Linked DNA regions of Lonchura striata. The protein of the gene in region 1 interacts with the protein of each later gene in a pairwise test. Links are inferred from orthologs where the notes say so. Each region holds a gene or a part of one and is shown on either strand. Other genes may lie near its edges.

Region 1 (10,522 bases):
GCACGTTCATCATGTTGTTGTAACACTGACCAGAGCAGCTTGGGGGATTTACCATCCCCGTAGTGGCCATGTGGTGCCCAGATCACTGCAGCAGCTCCGAGGGAATTCAGCAGAGCCAAGGGCTGAGTGTGCTGGGCCAGCCTGGGGCTGGAGGGCTGGCAGTGGTGGTGGGAAACCCCTGAAAATATCCCACTGGGCAGGGCTCTGCCAGGGGCTCCGTTTCCCTTCCCAAAGGAAGCAGTCTGAATTTACCCAGTGCTCTGTAGAGACCTGTAGGCTAAAACAAATTATTTTTACACAGTAGGAAACATTGAGACCGACCTTAACTGATGAAGCAATTTGCCAGCTTTTAGCCTCAAGGTCCTTAGTCCCTCAGGGCTTTCCAGCGTAAAGACTTGGGTCGGTTTCCCAGAAAGATTCTCTTGGATATGTGCTTTTGGCTCATTACTAGCTGTTTTATTTTTCCAAGAGCCAGCTCTCGTTAGCTTCGTTCTCACAGCATTGTTTTCTTTCTAGAAGAAGCTTTTGCTGGCTCTCCTAAACTATTGCATGGGAATTGCTTACTAGCTTACATTTTTTTTTGTTTGTTTTGACCCAAAGCTGTGCTTTGCTCCCCTCTGTAACACTGCCAGCATAATTTCCAGTCTCTTTTAAGCATATGTTTTGCAATAATATCTAAAGTCTTGGCTCCAAGTAACTGCCTTACAGAGAGATTAGTATCTTCTAACGAAGGAATTGAGAAGCAAATAGTGAGAACAAAAGCAATATCTTGAGAGCCTGTAAGACTATCCTGACCTTTCCCAAAGGCCTCAGCCTGGCCCTCGGTGTTCAGCAGATGGCAGAAATCAGGGTGGACTTTGATTTGTAGAGGCCTCTGCCTCGCCGCTGTGTTTGCGGGAAATGTGCTCAGCACGTTGTGGCCATCTGGGCTTGACTGTACTATTCTGATAATCCCCAGGGAGCCTTCTCCAGCAAAGCTCATCCTTGATGGAAGTCCTTTCTGGCTGACCTTGTAGAAGGCTAGTATTAGCAGTGTGGGTTTTTGACATTTGACAGCAGCACTCCTCATGGGAAGAAAACGGGCTTGGGAAATGCTTTGTCCTGGCCAAGAAGGAAGGTACCACTCACCAGGTATCCACATGGACACACAGTTGGAATTACACTAGAAAGTGAGGAGGCTGGTGTTAATGTTTTCTAAACTTCAAGAGGAAGTGTTACAGGAATGCAAAGGCCATCAGAAAACAACTGGAAAATTGCCTTGCTTTAAATGGGAGAACCAGATGGGGGGAATTGAACCTGGAGCTGAGAGTCTCAAAATTGCAAGGGAGCTTAGTGACTGGCCATCCACAGGGAGACAAGAGTCAGATGAGGGGGTCCTGACAGGAGCTGGAATCTTCATCTGGAGCTAAATGAAGGACTGCTTTTCAGAAGAACTGAGCTGGCTTTGCCAGAAATCAAAAGAATGATTGAGTGCTCAGCATCCCTGGAACTGAGAGGGCAAGACATAAGCTGCTAAATTCAAGAAATAAGGAAAGAACAAACCCAGACCCTCTCCCAGGCTGTGTTCAGAGGCTGTAAATGCTCTGCCTCAGATATTTTGTATTTCAGGTGGGGGGTGTATGGCAGCTTGAGTGGCCAGTCCCACAGGCAGTGCTGTCCTCAGGGAGCAGGATGTCTGCCCTGCCCTTTGCACTGTGCATCTGGCAGTGTGTGCCTGATTTTGCTTTAAATCACACACTCTCTGCTCATGAGCCACCCACGATGGGCTGTTGGACTTATGGCACCCATTCTGCTCCCTCCTGCCTGTCCCTGGCCATTCATAATGACAAATCTCAACCCTTTTCCTGACCTTTTGACTCTTCAGCTGGGCAGTGTGTGGAGCTTGCTCCAGGCTGCTTGTGAATCAAACTCCCAGGAGAGTTTGTGAGATGGTGCCACAGAGGCTCCTCTCCACGTCTGTCCCATGGCAGTTTTGCCCTGTGTTGCCCAGGCTGAAGGGACTCTCCTGCCTCTGGCTCTGCTGGCCAGCCCTGGTCAGCCACACTCTTGAGAAATCTTAGTGGAGATGTCGACCTGGCAGATGGAGGCCATTACCTCATTCCACAAAAATGCTTTGTTATTGAGAAAATGGAAACTGTCTGAGGTTTGGGAGCTGAATAGAGTCATTGGTGTCTGTTTTAACCGCAGTTTAGTGGTGACTGCTCAAAAGTTCCCCTTTCTGAGCATTCCCTTTTCCTACACCCATAATCTTCAAGCCATTGGAGAGCTGTGATGACTTAACTCATTAGCTGAGCAAAAAATGTTGAATGCTGCTGCACGCTCTGCAGAAACTTCACTAAAACCTCAACATCTTCCAGCAAAACAAAAATGATGAGCCAAGAAATAACCCTTTGCAAGCTGTTGGCCAGATAAGTGATCCCTATGGATACTAAGCCAAATTCAACCCTTTTTACAGTTTCAGCTGTGTGTCTTGTTTACTTGACTTTGAAAAGCTCTATGGAGATTATGCAGGAACTTCTTCAAGAAAAAAGACATACTTGGGCACTTAGGTTTGTAATTCTTAAACACGGGTATCTGAACCCCAGTCCTGAAGAGAAATTTCTTTTCATCAATTTTTAAAAGCACATTTTAGCATTGTGGATTTGAGAGCATAGGGGAAAGAATAAAAATAGGGATTGAAGTGTTTGCAAGCTAGTTTTTGTATTGCTGTGAATAATGACTGGGCTTAGTCCAGAAGAGCATTAACCTAAACACAGGCCTTGTTTTACTTAACAGATATTTGTGAAACTGGCATCTGATACCTCTTTTTGAGAACCTTCCATAAGCATTAATCACCAACACCCTAAGAGAACCAAGAACAACAGCTTTTTGGAAATAAAATGAATGCTTTATTTATGTATTTTTAAACTAATTAATCTTGGCATGCCAAATGAATGTCTTCCAGCTGCTACAGATGGTTTTCACATGACTAAATATTTTGGTGTGTAGAAAAACCTAAAATAGTGGAACCACAAGATATTAAGTATTTAATTATTACCCTGGAATGTAAATATGACCTTGATATTTTAAATTTGTTTGCCCAAATTTCAAGTGTTCTCTTAGAAATCCATCAAACAATGCAGTTCTGATTTGTTATCTGTGAAGCAGAGTGACTACTCAGCATCTTCTCCAAATTTATTTAAATATCAGAGTGGGTTTTAGAAGCAGGAATTTGCTTAACTGGAAAAATAATCCCAGCTGCTTGAGGCAGAACCCAGGCTCAAAGTTTGAAATGTAGTGGACTAGTTCTGTCCTAGATCCCTGCTTTCAGGTTTAACCATAAAAATCCTTTCTAGGCTCAGCTCTGCCTCTTAAGGTCTTGAGGGGGTTTTTTAATATAAAATACAAATTGTAAAAACAATTAGCAGTTGATTTTTTGGCCTGTATCTTACCGATTTAGAACACATTCTGGCCATGTGTTGTTCCTGTATCTGTAAAGCAGCCTTATTTCTTGAATGATCCAAGCACACAAGATTTCCTCCATGTGAGTGTATCACAGGTAATTTCTGTCATGGTTCAGGACTGTGTGGTTGCAGATCACACACAACCTGCATGTACACTCAGGCTTCTTGTGAAAAATGTCTTTTTGTAGTTCTTCTAATGAAACAAAATAAAGGGAATAATATAAAATATGTATCTGAAAGGCCTAACCTTCAGCACAGTTGAAGACAGAAATTCCTCTCTGAGGTCCACACCTGATGGCACTGTTCCTGGATATTGCTCAGGATGGGAAGACAACAAAAAATCAATGGGTCCTAAGCTGCCCCTGAGTGCAAGGACTGCATTTGTCACCATCATGAGCCCCAGTACCAGCCTAAACTCCTGATTTCTGCCAGGCTTTTGACCTCACCTTGGAATTCCAGCACCCTCATTTAAGGAAAACTGGCTTTTTCCTTTCTTAAAAACGAACCCATTTGGAACTGGTGCATAACTTCCTGCTGCTGCCCTATCCCAGTTCTGCCTGCCAGCTCAGCTGCTCCCTGCTGAACCCCAAGTTTGAATAGCAAGGGCAACTAGCAGAGGCATGGTGTTGGTTGGGAGATCTGGACTCTGGAACAGCACAGCACTTTGTCTGTCTGCTACAGGGTTGGAAGGCACCTTAAAGACCATGTCCCTCTCTTCCTTCTCCTCCTCCCTTTTCTCTTGCTTCTCCCAGGGTCAGGGTTGTGCAATCTGTAGATGCAGGTCTGTACCCCACGTTGGTGGGTGTCACAGTTTCCACTGACAGGGATATGTGCTGCATCTCAGGAGGAGAAGAAAGATGGGACTTGGGTCTTGGTTCCATTTTTAGTTCTACAGGCCATGCCTAGTGCCAGAACTCTCTGAGGTGCAAATCCCAGGAGGGAGATAGCATTACTCCCTGACCTGTGGGTAATACAAGGGTAAATAATGTTTTTGCTGCTGACAGCTGTTAGGGAATTGAGGAAGCCACAATCCAGTGAGAGGTGTGGGGTGTCAGCTCTGGAAACTGAGGACTTTTTTGCATTAATGATCTTGCACTGGATCATCACATTTGTGTTACTGGCAGTAGAGAATCGGGGAGCTAAACTGCTTCACAGGTAAATCTTTAGTTTGTTTCCTTAAATTTGGATTATTTATGCTCATCTGCCTCTTGGCACATGGACATTTTCAAAAAGAAAGGGCATCATCTAAATCTAAAGGCATTTCAGTGGCTCCCTTTAACTCAGTGAACAGTTGACATTAAGAAAACTGCTGAGTGCCTAACTCAGAACATTCTGGAATACATAGACTGGTAGTGGTACTCACCAAGAGTCATTAAAAGCAAAAAGTGCACAGCGTGTTTTGCATCTATCTCAGCCAAGAAAAGTTTTATTTCTGCTATTTCTCAACCCTAAGCAAACACCATATAACTCACAGAAAGATTAAATCTGGCCCGGTGTGCATGTGTAGAAGTGTTGGATGTGTTGCTTTTGGAGAGCCCAGAGCTGAGTGTGGGAAATCATAACTGCACGTCAGGTTGGTGAAGGTGCACGGACTGTGTTGTGCTTCCTGCTGTGTGAAACAGTAATAACTACAGCATGATTAAATAATGCTTTCAGGTCCTTGATAGCTTTGAGTTTTAATTTTGGAATATGTAGAGCAGAACTTTGAATAAGAATGGAAGAGGGCAATGTAGAAACCTTGAATAATTATTAGATCAGGCTGTGTGAGCCACACTGACCCTTTCAAGTGACAATCCAGGTTCTGCTGCTCTCTGCTGCTCACCTTGTTAGCACCTGACTTGGTAAGTCAGGCTGATAATGATGATGAGTTTTTCACTTTATGTTAGGAGTTTTGCTTCTTCTCTTCTCTTCTCTTTTGTTTTTGTTTTTTTTTTTCCTGTCATCATGATGTTCAGCAATATAAAGGCATTAGAAGTAAAATATGTCTACACAAAACTGGAATCACGTCTCTTGTGAAAATTTAGAGTAACTTTTAATGCAAGTGTCCAATTTCTAGTCACAAGTAATGACATTTAAACCCCTGTAGGAAACACAATCCCTGTGCTGATGTCACCCTTGGTTTATGATGTGAGTGCTTTTGTTGCTGGACAAGCACTTGAGTGTTTGCTGGTGAAGTGATGATTTACTGGTGAGAGTGTCTGGCTGGTGGCACCTGCTGTAGCTGACTGAGGTGAGGGGCTGGAGGAGCACCTTGGCACAGCTGGGTCCCTGCTGCTCCACTGCTTCCAGCAATGCAAGGTAAGCGAATTGGGCTGAGCTTTTATTTCCAGGGTTTGCCAGTTTGGGACAAATGGCTTGTAAATGGAGCACTCTTGTTCTGATCAGCTCCAGAACAGAGGGAAGGGTTGTTGGCATTGCAGTGAAGCCCTTGATCCTTGGGTTGCTTGGGCATGTGAACAGCTTTGGGAACTTTTTCCCAATAGTCAGAGTGCACGTTGCTTCTGCTTCCATCATCATCAGTGAGTGTGGAGCACCTTCCCTGCAGCAAAGAAACAGGCATTGCTTCACATCTGCTGCTTCTAGGGCTGAGACAGCAGCTCTTCTTGTTCTTCAGCTGAAAGTTGCCAAGAGAGGAGCCTGTTAGTGAAAATTCTGTTCTTTCTGATCCTTTTTAACTTCTGAGAGACGTGCTTCATGTAGGTGCCCTTGTAAATCTCAGATGGGAATCAAAGAATGATGTTCTGTAAAGGAGCCACGGACCTGGATCAAGGACTCTTGATATTGTTACTTCTTATCTGTTCATGTTGGATTTTTTTTCTGTAAATAAACAGCTTTTCCTCTCTTTCTGAGATTTTAGGCAGTCCACATTTTTACTGAGCTGCGTGCCAGCAGCAGCTCCAATTCTGAGATTGACATGTCCAGTGGAAACTCCATGTGTAGCTGCATGATATAAAGGCATTCATACACTTTGTGGGCACTTGTGTTCCTTACAATACCTGTTTCCATATAATCTTTTGGACGTGGCACAGTTTTCCCTTTTATGGGTGCCACCAAAGATTATCTCTGCACAGCAGAAACAGGAGCGCATGTTGCATCTTGCAAATTTCCTTTTAGCGCTTGCAAGGAGTTATTTTGTAGAGATGTTATGCAAAATACGTAACAATTGCAACTGATGGCTTCTATTATTTAAATTTTGCAGTACTGAAGAATAATTTTAAAGGTGTCAGTGAGAATGGTTTGAAGAGAACCAGCTCGTGAAAGTAAATGACACGTTCTGGCCAGATTACCTGGCAGAGAAGCCTTCAGTCACAGAAGGGAGCTGAAGGAGCTAAAACTAGTTAGGCCTTATTGAACTGGCCCATGTTATATTCATTTCACTTCTACACTGCCTAGGAGGTGTTCTCTTCCCCTCTCAGCCATCCCATGTGTCCCCTTTGCTCGGCTGTGCTGCCCTTGAGAGCGCTGCCCTGTTTGGGGAGGGCTGCAGCTGGCACACACAGCATCTCCCGGGCAACAAATGATCCCAGTTTTTGTTTGGGAGAACCATCAAGCTGTTCCCAGGGTGGTAACATGAGACAATTTGTCTTTTGCCAGGACTCAGTCCTCCCCCAGATTTAGAAGCTGCTTGCATGCTTCGTGCTGCAGGCCTGGCATTGCCTTTGCTTGCAAGGGACACCAGCAGCTGTAAAAAGCACTTTACAGGGAGTCTGTCCGTGTTCTTGGGCTAAGAGCCAGCACAGGTGGGGAGGCCTCGGGGATCTGTGGCAGAGAGGGAGTGCAAAAGTGTCTCCTGTCACCTTCCTGGCTTTCTCTTCCCTCTGCGGATTTTGGAGAGCCCCAAAAGGCACAAAACTCAGATGCACGTTACCTCTCTCCATCAATAGATCTGTTTATATGCAAGAAACCAACTGCAAATACTTGTGTTTGAGAGGCAAAGAATCAAATCGGAAGAGGGAGTATTTTGACCAAATTTGGTGAAAAAATTCACTTTGCCCTTTAAGTAATAGGCGTGCATTAAATAAAACATGTCTGGGATATGTGCCTTTTTCTGCTACTGGAAGTCAAAGTTGTTTTGTTTATTGAAAAGAAACATGAAGCTGAGCAGAGCCTTAATCAGCAAAAGAGCTTTCAGGCTTGTTGGGGAAACAGAGAATAGGGGACTGGGCTCAAATTGTACAGGTTGGTTTTCAGCACGTGAGCAAAACACACAATCACTAGGGCTGTGTCCAGTGCTTGAGGCAGTCCCTTGATTGCCTTTTTGGGCAAAACAGAGACATGATCTCGTAAGGATCTTTTATTATGGACTGCAAAAAGCTTTGTAAATACTAACTTAAATTATGTATCAACTCAGAAATAATAATGGCTTCATCCTCAATTTAAAAGGAGCTGTCTCTAAGGGAATGAAAAGTGCAAACTACAGTGTAAGGATTCAGTTGTGAGAACTTCAGGGAAATAGAGCGGAATTACATTATATACATGTAATATCTACATTGAGATGCACAGGCCCCAAGAAGTAGCAACTAGAGCAGTCAGATTATTTTTTCTGCATATAGGCTGTGATGTCTGTTTGAGTTGCAAGATTCTTGTGTGCTGAGCTGATCCAAGATGAAGGTACATTGGCCTCAGTGTGCAGTTAGTCATTTCCTGTCACGCTTTCACGTTTGAATTCTGTTGTACTGCATATGACCTTTATTATGTGGGGCAAAGAGATCTTGAAAGCACGATTGCCAGGAATCCTTGGATTGTTAAGTTGGATAAGCAGTGAGGCATTGATATGGCTGTGGGTTACACGGGCATAAACCAATTCAGTCCAAAATTAAACTTTCAATGCTAGATTGAATGCTCACAACATGCTTATTGAGAGTAATTGCACACCTGTCCCTTGCTCCTTTTTAAGAGCTGACAGGAGCAGCCCTTTCCCTGGGCTCCTCCGATCACACCAAAGCTCCTGTGATCAGTCACATTCCCTGAAACTTGGCTTCAGCATCTTTCTTCCTCTTATGGCCACTGTGACCATGTGTGCAGCTGCTGCCCTCAGCCAACCCCTGCCCAGTGGCAGCTGTGCCCGGCTGCAGTGTCCCCTGCTTGTCACTGCACGTGGCAGGAAAGGTACCTGTCACGAGGAGCCTCTCTTTTCTCTGCAGCCTCCTCAGAGACAAGCCACAATCTCTCCTGGCATGGTTTTAAGCCATGGGTTTCTTAACTGCCTGACAGAATGGTCTGTGTTGAGCTAGCCAGAAGTTTCTGGTGTGTTCCTATCTTGCTCCTCTGCTCTCAAGACTTCTTCCATCTGTTGGTCTGTTTGAATGTGATGGGTTCTCCAAAGAGCCCAAATGACTTCAATTCCTGACTTCCTGTTGAGTGCACAGAATTTGCTTGCTTTGTGCTCATTCTGAATAAGATTAACAGTTGATCTCTTGAGCAAACATTCCAATTTAATGTCAGCAGAATGACATAGACTGCCTGCTCTGAGTGTTCCCAAATAGTTTTACTGCTGTTAGCTACACCTCCAAAAGACCAAGATTTTGTTCAGAACCTAAAATAGTTAGTTAACCCCTACAGATGTTTAGTAATAAATATTTAACTCTGAAATCTTGCCCTCTTTTTTTTCCTTGGCAGAGTTCTTATTTTTATGGTTCCATAGTAGGGACTCTTCAGCTCCTTTCTCAGACCCTGGCAGAATTAGCTTTCCTTAAAGAAAATAAGTCCAGAGCAAGGACTGAATTGTCTCTTGTGCCTGTGCTGCTGGTACCTCACAAGCCCAGCACAGCAGTGGTGGCAGCTTGCCCTTGCTCACCTTGGACCAGGTGTGATGTCTCTGTCACAGTTTCCTTCAGGCACCTCTGGGCAGGCTGGGGACTGGAGGCAGGTGTGATTTTCTTACTGATTGTATTCTGTTTAAGAGTACAATCAGACATTTATAGGATAGGTGTGGTTTTGGCACTGTCCTTTATCTATATGCAGAGCTGCCAGGAGGAGTCTGTGATATGGCTTTGTTCTTTGGATGGGGCAACTTAAAGATCCCTTCTGAACAATGGGAAACCCTTATTTTGTCATTCTAAGACTGTATTAAAGTCATGCAACAGTTTAGGTCTTGTGCTTGTCAGATTCTGCTGCTTCAGTTTAACGGATTCTGCTGCTTCTTCCTCACAAAGCATTTGCAGGAAGCTGCTTACCTTGCTGACAGCAAGTTGTTTTATCTGAAATGCAAGGTGTTTCTTTACAGTGCTGCCAGCCGTTTTACTCAATCTCTTGCACAGCCTGGAGCAACCCGGGACAGCTCTGGGCAGGAGGGCGTCCTGCCCGTGCTGGGGGGAAAGGCTGAGGTGCAGCTTGCTCAGCAGAGCTCAGCGTATGCACATGTGTGAGCACAACACCCCAGTGGTGCAGGGAGGCTGTGGCCATACACCCAGCTGATCTGCTTATCTCCTGCCTCTGAGGCTGGCTGTAAGAACCGAACTTTCCCTGTGTGTTGGAGAAATGACCTGCAGCATCCTCTGGTTCTGCTGGTGATGGGGAAGCTGCCGTGTGAGGCCTGTGGCTGTCCTGATGGTCTCTGCAAAGAATCTACTCCTTGCCATGCTGGAGCCCTCCTTCCTACTTAAGATTTCAGAGCTGTCCCAGGGAAGGATGAGGCTGGAGAGCAGCTTGGAGGAGAGCTGAGGGCAGGAAGTGACTCACTGGAGCTTCGAGCAGGCCAGTGAAGGTCTGATGCAACTCTGCTCCCAGGGGAGCCCTGGGACCTCTCCCCAGCTGCCTCAAGCTCTCCTTTGACAGCCCCAGGGATGCACCAGGGTGCATCTGCTCCCAAGGGTGCCCCATGCAGGCTGGGTCACCCTGAGGGAGCGCTGGGACCTCTCCCCAGCTGCCTCAAGCTCTCCTCTGACAGCCCCAGGGATGCAGCAGCTCTGCAGCAGCGCTGGTGGGTTTGGGAGCAGAGAGACAGGGCACAGGGAGGCAGCAGCATGAGTAAGTGTGGAGAAACCCCCACAGCACCCCAGGGAGCTGGCCCCTACCCCCAGGAACCTGTGCCAGCCTGGGGCCAGGGTGCTCAGTGACCCTGTGCAGATCCCCAGAAG
Region 2 (10,666 bases), on another chromosome or scaffold:
CAGAAAAGTCATAGGCAAAAGCAGGTTTCATATAAAACAGAAAGTGTGATGTAGTTCATTTACAAGGTTCCCTCTACTACTACTTACTACTAATGCTCTGGTAAAAGCACATAGAAAAAGAGCAAACTAAAACCTAAAACCAGTCAATTGAAATCCAAAATCAACTCAAAACTTAACTCTGTGGAGGCTGGGGATAAGGATAGGGAAGGGGTAAGGACAAACAGGAATAAGGAAGACCCACCCATTGCATCACAAGTTTCCGAGTAGACCCCTTTGCTAAACTGAGCCCCAAACTTGAGAGTTTAGGTCTATAGCTTTAACAGCACTTAAGGGCACTTAAGTGACAGGTTAGGTTAAACAATTTATCTAAAGATTCATATAGAATTTACTATAACTCATGGGCCTAACTTACAAACCTGAAGTACTTAAGAATCTAGGAGAGCAGCATTCCTTGTACATATGCTATAGCATATTCACACCCTCATGCACACATACCTAAAGGGTCTGTATAAGACACCCACAGAGTACCTCTGAAAAATTTTCCTCAGACTTGGTGAAGGACACATATCTGATGCCTTTGGATCATCCCAACGGGCAAAGCGTTGAGTCTGGAGAAGTGGGGGTGTAAGTCCAGGCTCCATCATTGTCATTCAGTGATCTTCCAAGTTTAGCAAACTTGAGAGTTCTCTGGCTCTGAGAGGCCCCACACAGAGGGAGGTGCTGGTCACAGTGTCTGCTGTCCAGGAGAGCTCAAAGGGTCTCACTTTGGGCCATTGTTTATAGAGTCACAAGAGAATGGGCTTCAATCATAATAATTTTTCATCCTGATTGCAATATGGGCTAGCATGTTCTTTGAAAGTTTGATAACAAAATTGTTATTCTGCTTGGGTTGTTTTCGAGGCAAGAAAAGTAAGTTTCCAAGGCAGTTCATTAAAAATCAGGAGACTAGTACTAGTTCCTGGGAACAGACTGATTTTGATAAACTCAGGAGGAGCTCAGTCTAGGTGCCCTTTGTGAAGATCAAGGCTAATGAGGATTTCTCAGATCACAATGAGGCCTCAGGAGGAGTGCAGGGGATGCACATCACATGTTCACATATGCCATTGCACATCTCTTTAGTGTAGATGAATTAAAATTAATTACATCCAAATCTTGATCACAGAGAAATTCTTTGAGTTCTTTAATGGACTTTTCTCATGACAAATTCCCCAGGATAACGCCGCTTTGTATCAAGTAGGTTTACTCCAGTAAAAACCTACAACAAGAAGAATCTTTTTATTTCTTTAGTTTTGATTCCCATTTCCCATATATATTTCTTCAACTCAGCTGAGGGACAGATTCTGAACTTTGTTTATTCATGGTTTTGTATTTATTAATCATATACACAGCATTTAACAGAATTTGGTATTCTGCTATCAAAACCATTAGAAGAGCATTAATACATTGTACATGGTATCATATATGGGCTTTGCAATTTGGTCTTGTTCCTACGGTTTGGAGGTATATCTAATTGTACACAAAAGAATACTGAAGTAGAGGTGTTACTGCACAAGCAGCAAAGGATGATCCAGCCACCCACCTTAAGATTCAGCTATGAGGAGAAACAACCACACAAAGGCCCATTTAACTTCCAGGCCTGTTTCCTTTCAGCTCAGAATTGAAAATTCTCCCATGAAGGCAATTTGCTCTTCCTCCTTGCCCAGATCACTCTTGATCACATTGTGAACAAGCCAGCCAAAGAACAGATGCTGGGTGCCAGTTGTCTGTGTGAGGGAGAGACCCAAGAGCCTGTGGCACTTTCCAGTTTCCTGTTTGGGTAATTGAGGGAGTTGCAGAGAAGTACAGCAGGAAAATGTAATTTTCAAGTCCAGACTGCCAGGAGGTGTTAAAACCCAGGGTCCTTTTTGCTGGTCCTTTTGGGGTGACTTTTGCTTGAGGGTCTATTTATGTGCCTAATAAAACTGTGAGGCAAACCAAAGATTTTCTTCTGAGAGCACTCAAGAGATGAGCAGCTGAAGGGAAAGAGCTGTTTGGACATCCATCACTGGGATGTCACAAAGGATGCTGTGGATGCCAGGACTAAGAGACCCAGGAAAAATATGGCGAGTTTGCTGTTGTCCTTGGCTGTGGGCGAGCATCCTGCTGGTGTAAAGCATCTGTGTTCTCATCCTGAATTACTATGGGAAGCAAAACATGAGCATGGAGTGAAGATCCAAAATGACATAAGCACTACTGTGTGTCCCATCTAAGCCAATGTCAAATTAACATTCAAACCTGACACCCACTTGGAGAAGATTAATTTATTGCCAGTTTAAAATAGAGTAGGATACTGGAAAAAAACACATTTCTCTTACCCTCTCCTGCTACCAAAATCATGGATGGGCTCAGCTTTGGCCATGGCAGGTCTGGCTGGAGTTGGCTGTGCTTGACAGAGGGGCAGGTCTTGATATCTCCCCACAGAAACCACTCCTGCAGTCACACAGGTCCAATGTGTAGACTCAATTGAATTGTCTTTCAGGCTGTGCTGCTGGAAGCTCCAGGCTGCTGTGGAGCACAGCTGCTCTCTTCCATTATATGAACAAGAGGGCAGCTACCCACTGTGCAGATCTCACAGATCTCAAAGATCTGGTGTAAATCAAATCTGAGTCAGCAGCTTTGCACTCTACTCCTTTGCTAACAGGTTAACAAAGCAGTGGCTATGAGCATTGTTTCCCAAGAAAAATGTAGATTTTAATTTTAAGACAGTTTTCTCACACTGAACAATTCTCCCTCTCACACACATTCACAGAATTCACAGAATAACTAGGTGGGAAGAGACCTTAAAGATCATTGAGTCCAACCCAATATTAGTCAATGAATATTGTTTTAGAAAACACAGCAGATCTGGCTATTCCAACAGTCATGTCATATTCCAGTGTGGAAGAAGATTGTAGTTTCTTTGGAACAACACTCTTTCTCCTATTTTTCTTCTGAAGAACTGTGGTTTACTGGTTTCTCTTATCAACAACCTTCATTCTGTTTCTCTCCTGGAGGCTTGTCTTCCAAGCAGGAAGACCTGCTTGGTCTTCCAAGACCAAGCACAGAAACTGCATGTGTGGCTTTATATTAAGTCATATGGGAATTAAATTTAAGGGATCATTAACACAGAAGCTTTGTGTCCTATTGTAATTGCTGCACTTAGGCTGTTGCCAATTTCTTCTCACTGCAAAAGTGGATCTCTGAATTGTTTTCTTGGTGTTTTCTTTCAAAGAAAAGAAGGAAACCCAAACTTCTACTGTATCATGTGAGAATAGGTTCTGTGCTATGGGAGCACAGTCAAACACCAGGGAATGGTCTGGGGACACTGTGTAGAAGGCATGGATCCCACACCTGAAATTCTATTTAATACTAATATTCAATTTCCTATCAGCACTGTTCAGCATCTTCAACAGTAACATGGACATTGTGGGATTGAGTGCACCCTCAGCAAATCTGGAGACTATATGAAGCTGAGTAGAGCCATTGACACAGCTGAAGGACTGCGAGTATCATAAAATTCGTAAAACACTGGAAAAGGTTGTCCAGAGAGGCTGTACCCACATCTCTGGGAACATTCATTCAGTTTGCAAAGGGCCCTAAACACTTGCTGGCAATTGAAGGTGTCCTTGCTTATTGCAGGGTGGTAGGTCTAGATGACTTTTAAAGACTTCCTTCAATCCTGACTAGTCTGATTTTATGATTTCCACAATTTTAGGAAGACTAAAACTGTGTAACAAAACAGAGTAACTGTAACTTTATGTGTTGAACTTGTGTTTCAGTTTATGGCTATTGCTCCTTTTCCTGTCCCTGGGCACCAAAGAGTCTGGCACCATCCTTTGGCACCAGCCTTAGAGATACTCATATGCACTAATGAGATTTCCTCTCACAAAGCTGTGGATGACTCATGCTATACTTAGAATTGAATGCACTAATGCTCACTTAACCTAGTGCACAAAATAAGAACAACTGCATGTCAGACTAAGACGCAGTTGTGGGAGACCTTGTTGAGCTTCTTCAGAGAAGACAAGCTGCCTGGAAGGAGATTGCAGCAAGGTCAGGCTCCTCTCCCATGCAACAAAGGACACAGTGAGAGGAAATGGTTTAATTGCCTGGAGAGGTTTTGGCTGCCCAGTAGGAATTTTTTTTCACAGAAAGAGTGACCAGATATTGAAATGGGCTGCCAAGGGAGGTTGTGGAATCATTGTCCCTGGAAGTGTTTAAGGAAAGACTGGACGTGCCATGGGGTGGTTGACATGGTGTCATAGTTTGGACTTGGTGATCTCGGAGGTCTTTTCAACCTAAATGATTCTGTGATTCTGAGCTAAAGGATCATTAAACCCACAGGGTATGGCCTCCCACTCCTAAGGGGAAGGAAGATTCATAAATGCTCATGGTTGAAAGGAACAACAAAAGTTAGAGGGTCAGCAAATAATCAGAAAGTTTTATTAGTAAATTACATACTCAGCATGGAAGCTGGCATTTTCGTCCTTGACCGGCTATGTAAGTACAAGGCAATAGGTTTTAGATAAAGAAGTAGTGTGAAAGGCAAGACAGAGAAGAAGAGGTGAGCTAAAGAGAAGAAGAGAGAAAGAAAAATAAGAGCTCAGTGCTCCTGGTTCCAACACTGATCCAGCTGCAGGGATGTCAGTCCTGGTGTCAGAATCCATCCAGCTGCAGGGATGTCAGTCCTGGTTCCAGCACTGATCCAGCTGCAGGGATGTCAGTCCTGGTGTCAGAATCCATCCAGCTGCAGGGATGTCAGTCCTGGTTCCAGCACTGATCCAGCTGCAGGGATGTCAGTCCTGGTGTCAGAATCCATCCAGCTGCAGGGATGTCAGTCCTGGTTCCAGCACTGATCCAGCTGCAGGGATGTCAGTCCTGGTTCCAGCACTGATCCAGCTGCAGGGATGTCAGTCCTGGTTCCAGACTGATCCAGCTGCAGGGATGTCAGTCCTGGTTCCAGACTGATCCAGCTGCAGGGATGTCAGTCCTGGTGTCAGAATCGACCCAGCTGCATCCATCCAGCCAACAGGATATCCTGTGGGATTGGGGGACACTTTCTGTGGCCTGACTTCCCCGTCCTGAAGTGTTTCTCACTTTCTACTCAATCAGTTATCATGGGCAGTCTGTTCTTTGGGCCTGGTTATGGAAATAAGGCAGAGGGCTTTGGGGATCTTGGGTGCTCTGCGTTCCTCTCCACAACCCATGCCCCACTTTTTGGCCTCCTCCCTGCGCCTGCCGTGTGCAGTGCTGCGCTCATCTCCAGGGCCGATAAGAAGGAGTTTTTCCCCGGAAGAACACGCTGCCCGAGGTCGGCACAGACTCCTCATCGCCGGCTCCTCCTCACGGACTCCCGGAGGGGCCCGGCCGGCCGCGGAGCCGGCGCGCGGACTGCGCAGGCGCGGGGCGGCGGGGCCGCTCCGCCGCGCCGCCAGGGGGCGCCGCACGCCCCGCCCCGGGCCGGGCAAGCGGAGCGCCGCCATTGGCCAGCGGCGCCGGCCCCGCCCGCCGCGGTCACGCGCGCGGCCTCACCGCGGCCGGAAGTGCCGACGGGCGGCGGGGCCGGGCGCGCTGCCGGCGGAGCGGCCCGAGCGCGGCGCCTCCCGCTCCTCTCCCGCTCCCCGCCGGGCTCCCTCAGCCACCCCCGCCATGCACCCGCGCCGCCCCGACGGCTTCGACGGCCTCGGCTACCGTGGGGTCGGCCGCGACGAACTGGGCCCCGGCTCCAGGCCCTTCGGCAGCGGCTCGGAGCCGGGCTCCTGGGTGACCAGCCCGCCCGACATCCCCGGCAGCCGCAACCTGCACTGGGGTGAGAAGACGCCGCCGTACGGGGCTGGGACCCCGCTGGGCGGCGCGGGCCCCAACGAGGAGGCCAACCTCGGGGCGGGCGGCCCCGGTGCCGGTAAGGGAGGGCCCGGCCCGGGCTAGCCCGGGGCCGGCCGGTGCCGCGGAGCCCCGCTGCCGCCGCGGAGCCCCGCTGCCGCCGCGGAGCCCCGCTGCCGCCGCGGAGCCCCGCTGCCGCCGCGGAGCCCCGCTGCCGCCGCGGGCGCTGAGCGCCGGGCGAGGGCGGGCGGGCCTGAGCTGCGCCGCCCGGGCTGCCGGTGCTGAGGCGCAGGGAAGAAGAAGGCGGAGTGCTCTGCTGAACACCCGCTGCCTGTTGCGCTCCAGCGCTGTGCAGCTCCGCTCCAGTGGGGTCCGAGAGTGCCAGAACGCGCCCCGCAGCTTCCCGTTAAGCAGTGTGCAGTCAGCTCGCTCCTCATTGCCCGTGTAGATAATCTCCTGCAGAAACACCCCGCCTTCTTCAAGGGCAGGAAGTGCTTTTGGCTCTTGGAGTGCTGCGTTATTGTGGTGGTGGTGTTGCGGACTGCGTGGCTTCTGTCGGGTTTAAAACATGAGCTGCTGACGTAAACTTTCCCCCTCCACGCGTGATAGCGAGGGAACTGTGGGATTTGTAGGATTTAAGGAAGCAACTGAGTACAAGGCTTTTTCGGTAATTGCTGGAAAATTGAGTGTAAGCCTTCATACATAAAGTCATTTTAGATCTTAACAAAGTTGAGGTGAATTAAGGAAAACTTGCTCTCTCTAGGGTACTGTATGTTGTTTTCTTTAAATAAAAGGAGCAGGTTGTAGACACTTGAGTATCAAAAAATCTCTGAAATAGTAATTTACCTGAAATCGAATTATATTAGTAGGCAAGTCTTTCTTTTCTGAGCTGTAGTGCAGTATCTTTATTTAGGTCTTACAAAGAGTACTGCCTTTAGCTGGACTCCGTCCATGCATGCACTGGTTGAAGCACTATTAAGTATCCTTGCATAGCTGGACACTGCATTTTTTCCGCCGTCTGCATGTGGAAGGTGTGTTCATTCTGCACTTTGGAGCACTGATAAGGAGTTGCTGTAATCACTGAATCCAGCAGCTGCATGTGGTATCTTACCATTTTTAGGAGGGCTGCCACATTTGTGTGGAGCACCACTGAAGTTACTGACTTCATCCATGCCTTCAGACTGCATGCACAATGAAGCTTGTAGGCTAAGCATTGACTTTAAAATGCCTTTACTGTTCTGATGCTCATCTTAAAATCCCTTCTGATAATTCCCAATGTGCAAATGTCTGCTTGCAGGCAACAGAGAGTTGAATTAATTACTTCTGTAATTCTCCAATTTGGAGAATTCAGATTTTTGCAAAGGACTGGAGGTAAACAACTGGCTTGAAAATTTGCTTTGTGTTGATGTTTGTTACTTCATCTGTGGCTTTTTGTGTAACTTCGCACAAGATTTTGCCTTTTATACTGTTTTAACAGTATTTTCACCTCAATTACCTAGATTTATGTTTCAGAATTACTGCAAACTCATGCGTACTAAATCTTTCAGTAATTGGTTTGAATTGGTAAATACTCTCTGTTTTACTGTTCGTTTTCTCTCTTCTTTTTTTGCTGTAAGAAAAGCATAATTTTATATATAAGAGCATGTACAAACTCAAATGCAGTCCAAAGTGCACATGTTCCTAGGGGAATATTTTTTTATATCTTCTGTTGCTCAACTGCCATAAATATTGTAATTTAGTGCTTGTAATTTTTTGATGCAAGTACAGGATAAAACTAGTTTTTCAGATCCCGTGCATGACATTTTCTCTGTTTTGTGATTATCGCTGCCGTATCATCTGGTTTTGTTTCGGATTTTTTTCTTGTTTTTCAGAACAGTTGAACAGATTTGCTGGCTTTGGTATTGGCCTTGCAAGGTAAGAGATGTGTTCAGTGACAAAGGGGTTGTAAAACTCATACTTATAAACCCTACATACACTTCTGTGTTGTGTTTTTATTCCAATAGCCATAAGCAGTTGAAATGTATTTTGAAACCTAATACCCCCCATTTAGGTTTCTGTTTTCTTTAACTGTTGCCAAAAATATATGAATGGAAGAAACAGAATGCCCTGTCCGAGTAATCTAAAATTAACACCAGAAAACTTCTTTGACATGTGCAACTTTTGTTAATATTTCTGGGTGATACAAATGTTTCCTAAGAAAGTGAAAATGTCTTCAAGTATATTACCAAAGTATCCTCAGACCATAATGTTCATCTAATCAAGTGGCCTGAAGGCCAGTTCATTCTTTATGATGATGACCCTGATTATTGATAGTATTTTTGAAAAAGTGATGGATTATAAGATGCTGATGCCCAAGGAAAGTTTTTCCTCTTGGTACAGAGGAACTATTAGATCAATAGTTACAAAACTGCAGTATTTTTCTGTGCCACTTGTTTATTGGGAGTTCAGAAACCTACCACAGATGATTCTGTAGCTTGGGGTGTTTGTAAAAATCCTGGATGTTCTTTTCTAATCCATGTCCCAGGTTTGAACAATATACAGGTAAGTACTCTGATCACTCAGGCATTTTGAGCTGAAATTAATAGTCTATCTGAATGTCTGCAACCAGGAATTCTGCTTTGGAAGTGTGAACTTTCCTGTGAAGTTTTGATTCAAATATGACTTCTGCCAATGGCTGGAGAATTGGTTTGGGTCAGTAGTGTTTTCGGTGAAAAGGTGGTCAGCTACTAGTACCACTCCTCTGCCCTCCTAAGAGGAGTCTTGATTAATAATACAGGATGCAGAATTAACATAAAACTGGGAACTAAACCTCTCATAATTGTAGCTGTGGTTTGTTTTGCACCGTGATACTCTGAGGAGGGCGAAATTAAGAAATTTAGTATATTTTTTGCTTATAAAAATAAGTGCATATTACATATATATGGGGCTTTTTCACAGTAAATGTATATGTCAGATTTTATGTAACTTGTTCCTTGGGAGGCTGTTGGGTAACCATCAAAAACATGGCCTATTAGTTCACTAGAAAATGTGTTGCTTCTCCAAATACTGATCTGCTGCTGTTAGAGACAATTAACAAGTCTTTTCTAAGGAATTTTTGTGCATTAAATACAATTTTCCTTTAAAGCCTATTTACAGAAAATGTGTTGGCACATCCTTGCATTGTTCTACGTCGTCAATGTCAGGTATGTCTTTTATATTACCTATTCCAGTCAAAGCTCCTGTGTACTGCCATACCTCTGTATGAAAGTACATATTATGGGAAACTTTGCAATTTTTAGGAGGTCTCTGGTACATTAACAAATTTTTACTTGTAGAATACTTGTTTTCTGTTCTGCAGTTTATTTTATTTGGAAAAGTCTTGCTCATTTTTGTTTGGGCAGTGGAAAGCAAATTACAGCAAGTGTTTTGGGATCTGCAGAGCAACTTTCACATCCCTGTTTGCAAGCAGGGTGATTTGTTTCATAGGTTCTGATTTATGTATGGTTTCTTTAAACTTTCAGCATATGAATAATTTAAAGGGCTGCCCTTTTTCCTAGATTTCAGTGAGAACTTACTCATATTTGTAGCTGATCTTTACAGATATCAATTCTTTGAAATGCCTTTATACTTCAGAGTTGTAGCATCTACAAGTGTATTTCTAATACTATTTATTTTTTTAACAGGTTAACTATCATGCACGGAATTATCATCTCACACCATTTACTGTTGTCAATATCATGTACTGCATCAATAAGACACAGGTTAGTGTTTGGTGCCAGGCTGTATCTAGGCACTGAGGGTTCCTACAGCATGTATGTACATTGAAATCTCTGATTGTTTATGTAGGTGGTGTTGGAAAGCACGGCTGTTATGAGGGTTTGTTTTTATGGCTACAGAAATGTGTCAAGAAGATCAAGTAAATAATTTTTTTTTTTTCAGAAGTGCAGTACTTAGTGGGGAAAGATTTGTGGATGTTAGAAAGCAAAAAGTCCTTGGATTTTTTTTTTTCATTAGGTTTCTAAAAGATCATTAAATCATTATGTGGATGAAATTATTGTTGTCCTTCCAAAGGTTGTACTTCCAGTTCTGCAGGGGAATGGCAATCCATAAACTCAGATCAGAAGGCAGGAAGCAAGTCTTAATTCTGAATATATTACGGATGTACTTTTGACATCTCAAGCTCATTTTGTCCATAAAAAATGGTGTTAAGTTTATAATATAGAGTATTAACAGTTTGGGAGCCTCCAAAGTTATTGACAGATCTTTGAAATTATTGAAAAACAAAAACTTCTTCATTGATTAAAAAATAATCTGTTACCCAAGTTTAATTACGAATTTCAACAGTAGAATTGTAGACCTGTGTGATATTAATTTACTGAATTTTTTAAATATTAAGTTGAAAATATTTATCTTGGATATTTCAACATGCAGGGTCCAAGAGCTCTCTGGAAAGGAATGGGCAGCACTTTCATTGTTCAGGGCATAACCCTGGGAACAGAAGGCATCATCAGTGAATTTACACCTTTGCCAAGGTATTGCATGTTTTTTTTTACCAATTCTAGCAAATCAATATGTTGTTGATTTTTTTTTTTTTTCAAAGTATTAGTAAGGCTTTTTGAAAAATACTACTTTATGAGAACAACCAGACATTAAATAGGTATTTCCAAACACAGTGTGGTTGTCTTGGAAAAGACAGCCTTATAATCCATAAATACTGAGGGACTTTTTCTGAGAACTTTATTTGTTTGTGTCTGCTTACCTGTCTGACATAAAAATGCTGTGGCAAATTAGTCTTTGGTATTCAACTCTGTAATAAAAAAAAAAAAAAAATCATTGTTTTCTTCTT

What was found. The genes of interacting proteins can lie anywhere in the genome.
Region 2: the proteins of FHL3 (region 1) and SLC25A46 interact in binary tests that used the Homo sapiens proteins (3 or more experiments, as listed by UniProt). The two-hybrid records come from large-scale screens. The link is inferred for Lonchura striata from reciprocal best matches to the Homo sapiens genes FHL3 and SLC25A46.

The regions. Positions count from the first base shown.
Region 1 is NC_134628.1:4,830,563-4,841,084, reverse strand, and holds the start of FHL3 (four and a half LIM domains protein 3), read left to right. Parts: upstream 1-5,610; 5' UTR 5,611-5,734; coding exon 5,735-5,741; intron 5,742-10,522. UniProt on the Homo sapiens protein: Recruited by SOX15 to FOXK1 promoters where it acts as a transcriptional coactivator of FOXK1.
Region 2 is NC_134642.1:79,751,453-79,762,118, forward strand, and holds the start of SLC25A46 (mitochondrial outer membrane protein SLC25A46), read left to right. Parts: upstream 1-5,605; 5' UTR 5,606-5,667; coding exon 5,668-5,920; intron 5,921-7,712; coding exon 7,713-7,755; intron 7,756-8,965; coding exon 8,966-9,023; intron 9,024-9,503; coding exon 9,504-9,581; intron 9,582-10,251; coding exon 10,252-10,352; intron 10,353-10,666. UniProt on the Homo sapiens protein: Transmembrane protein of the mitochondrial outer membrane that controls mitochondrial organization.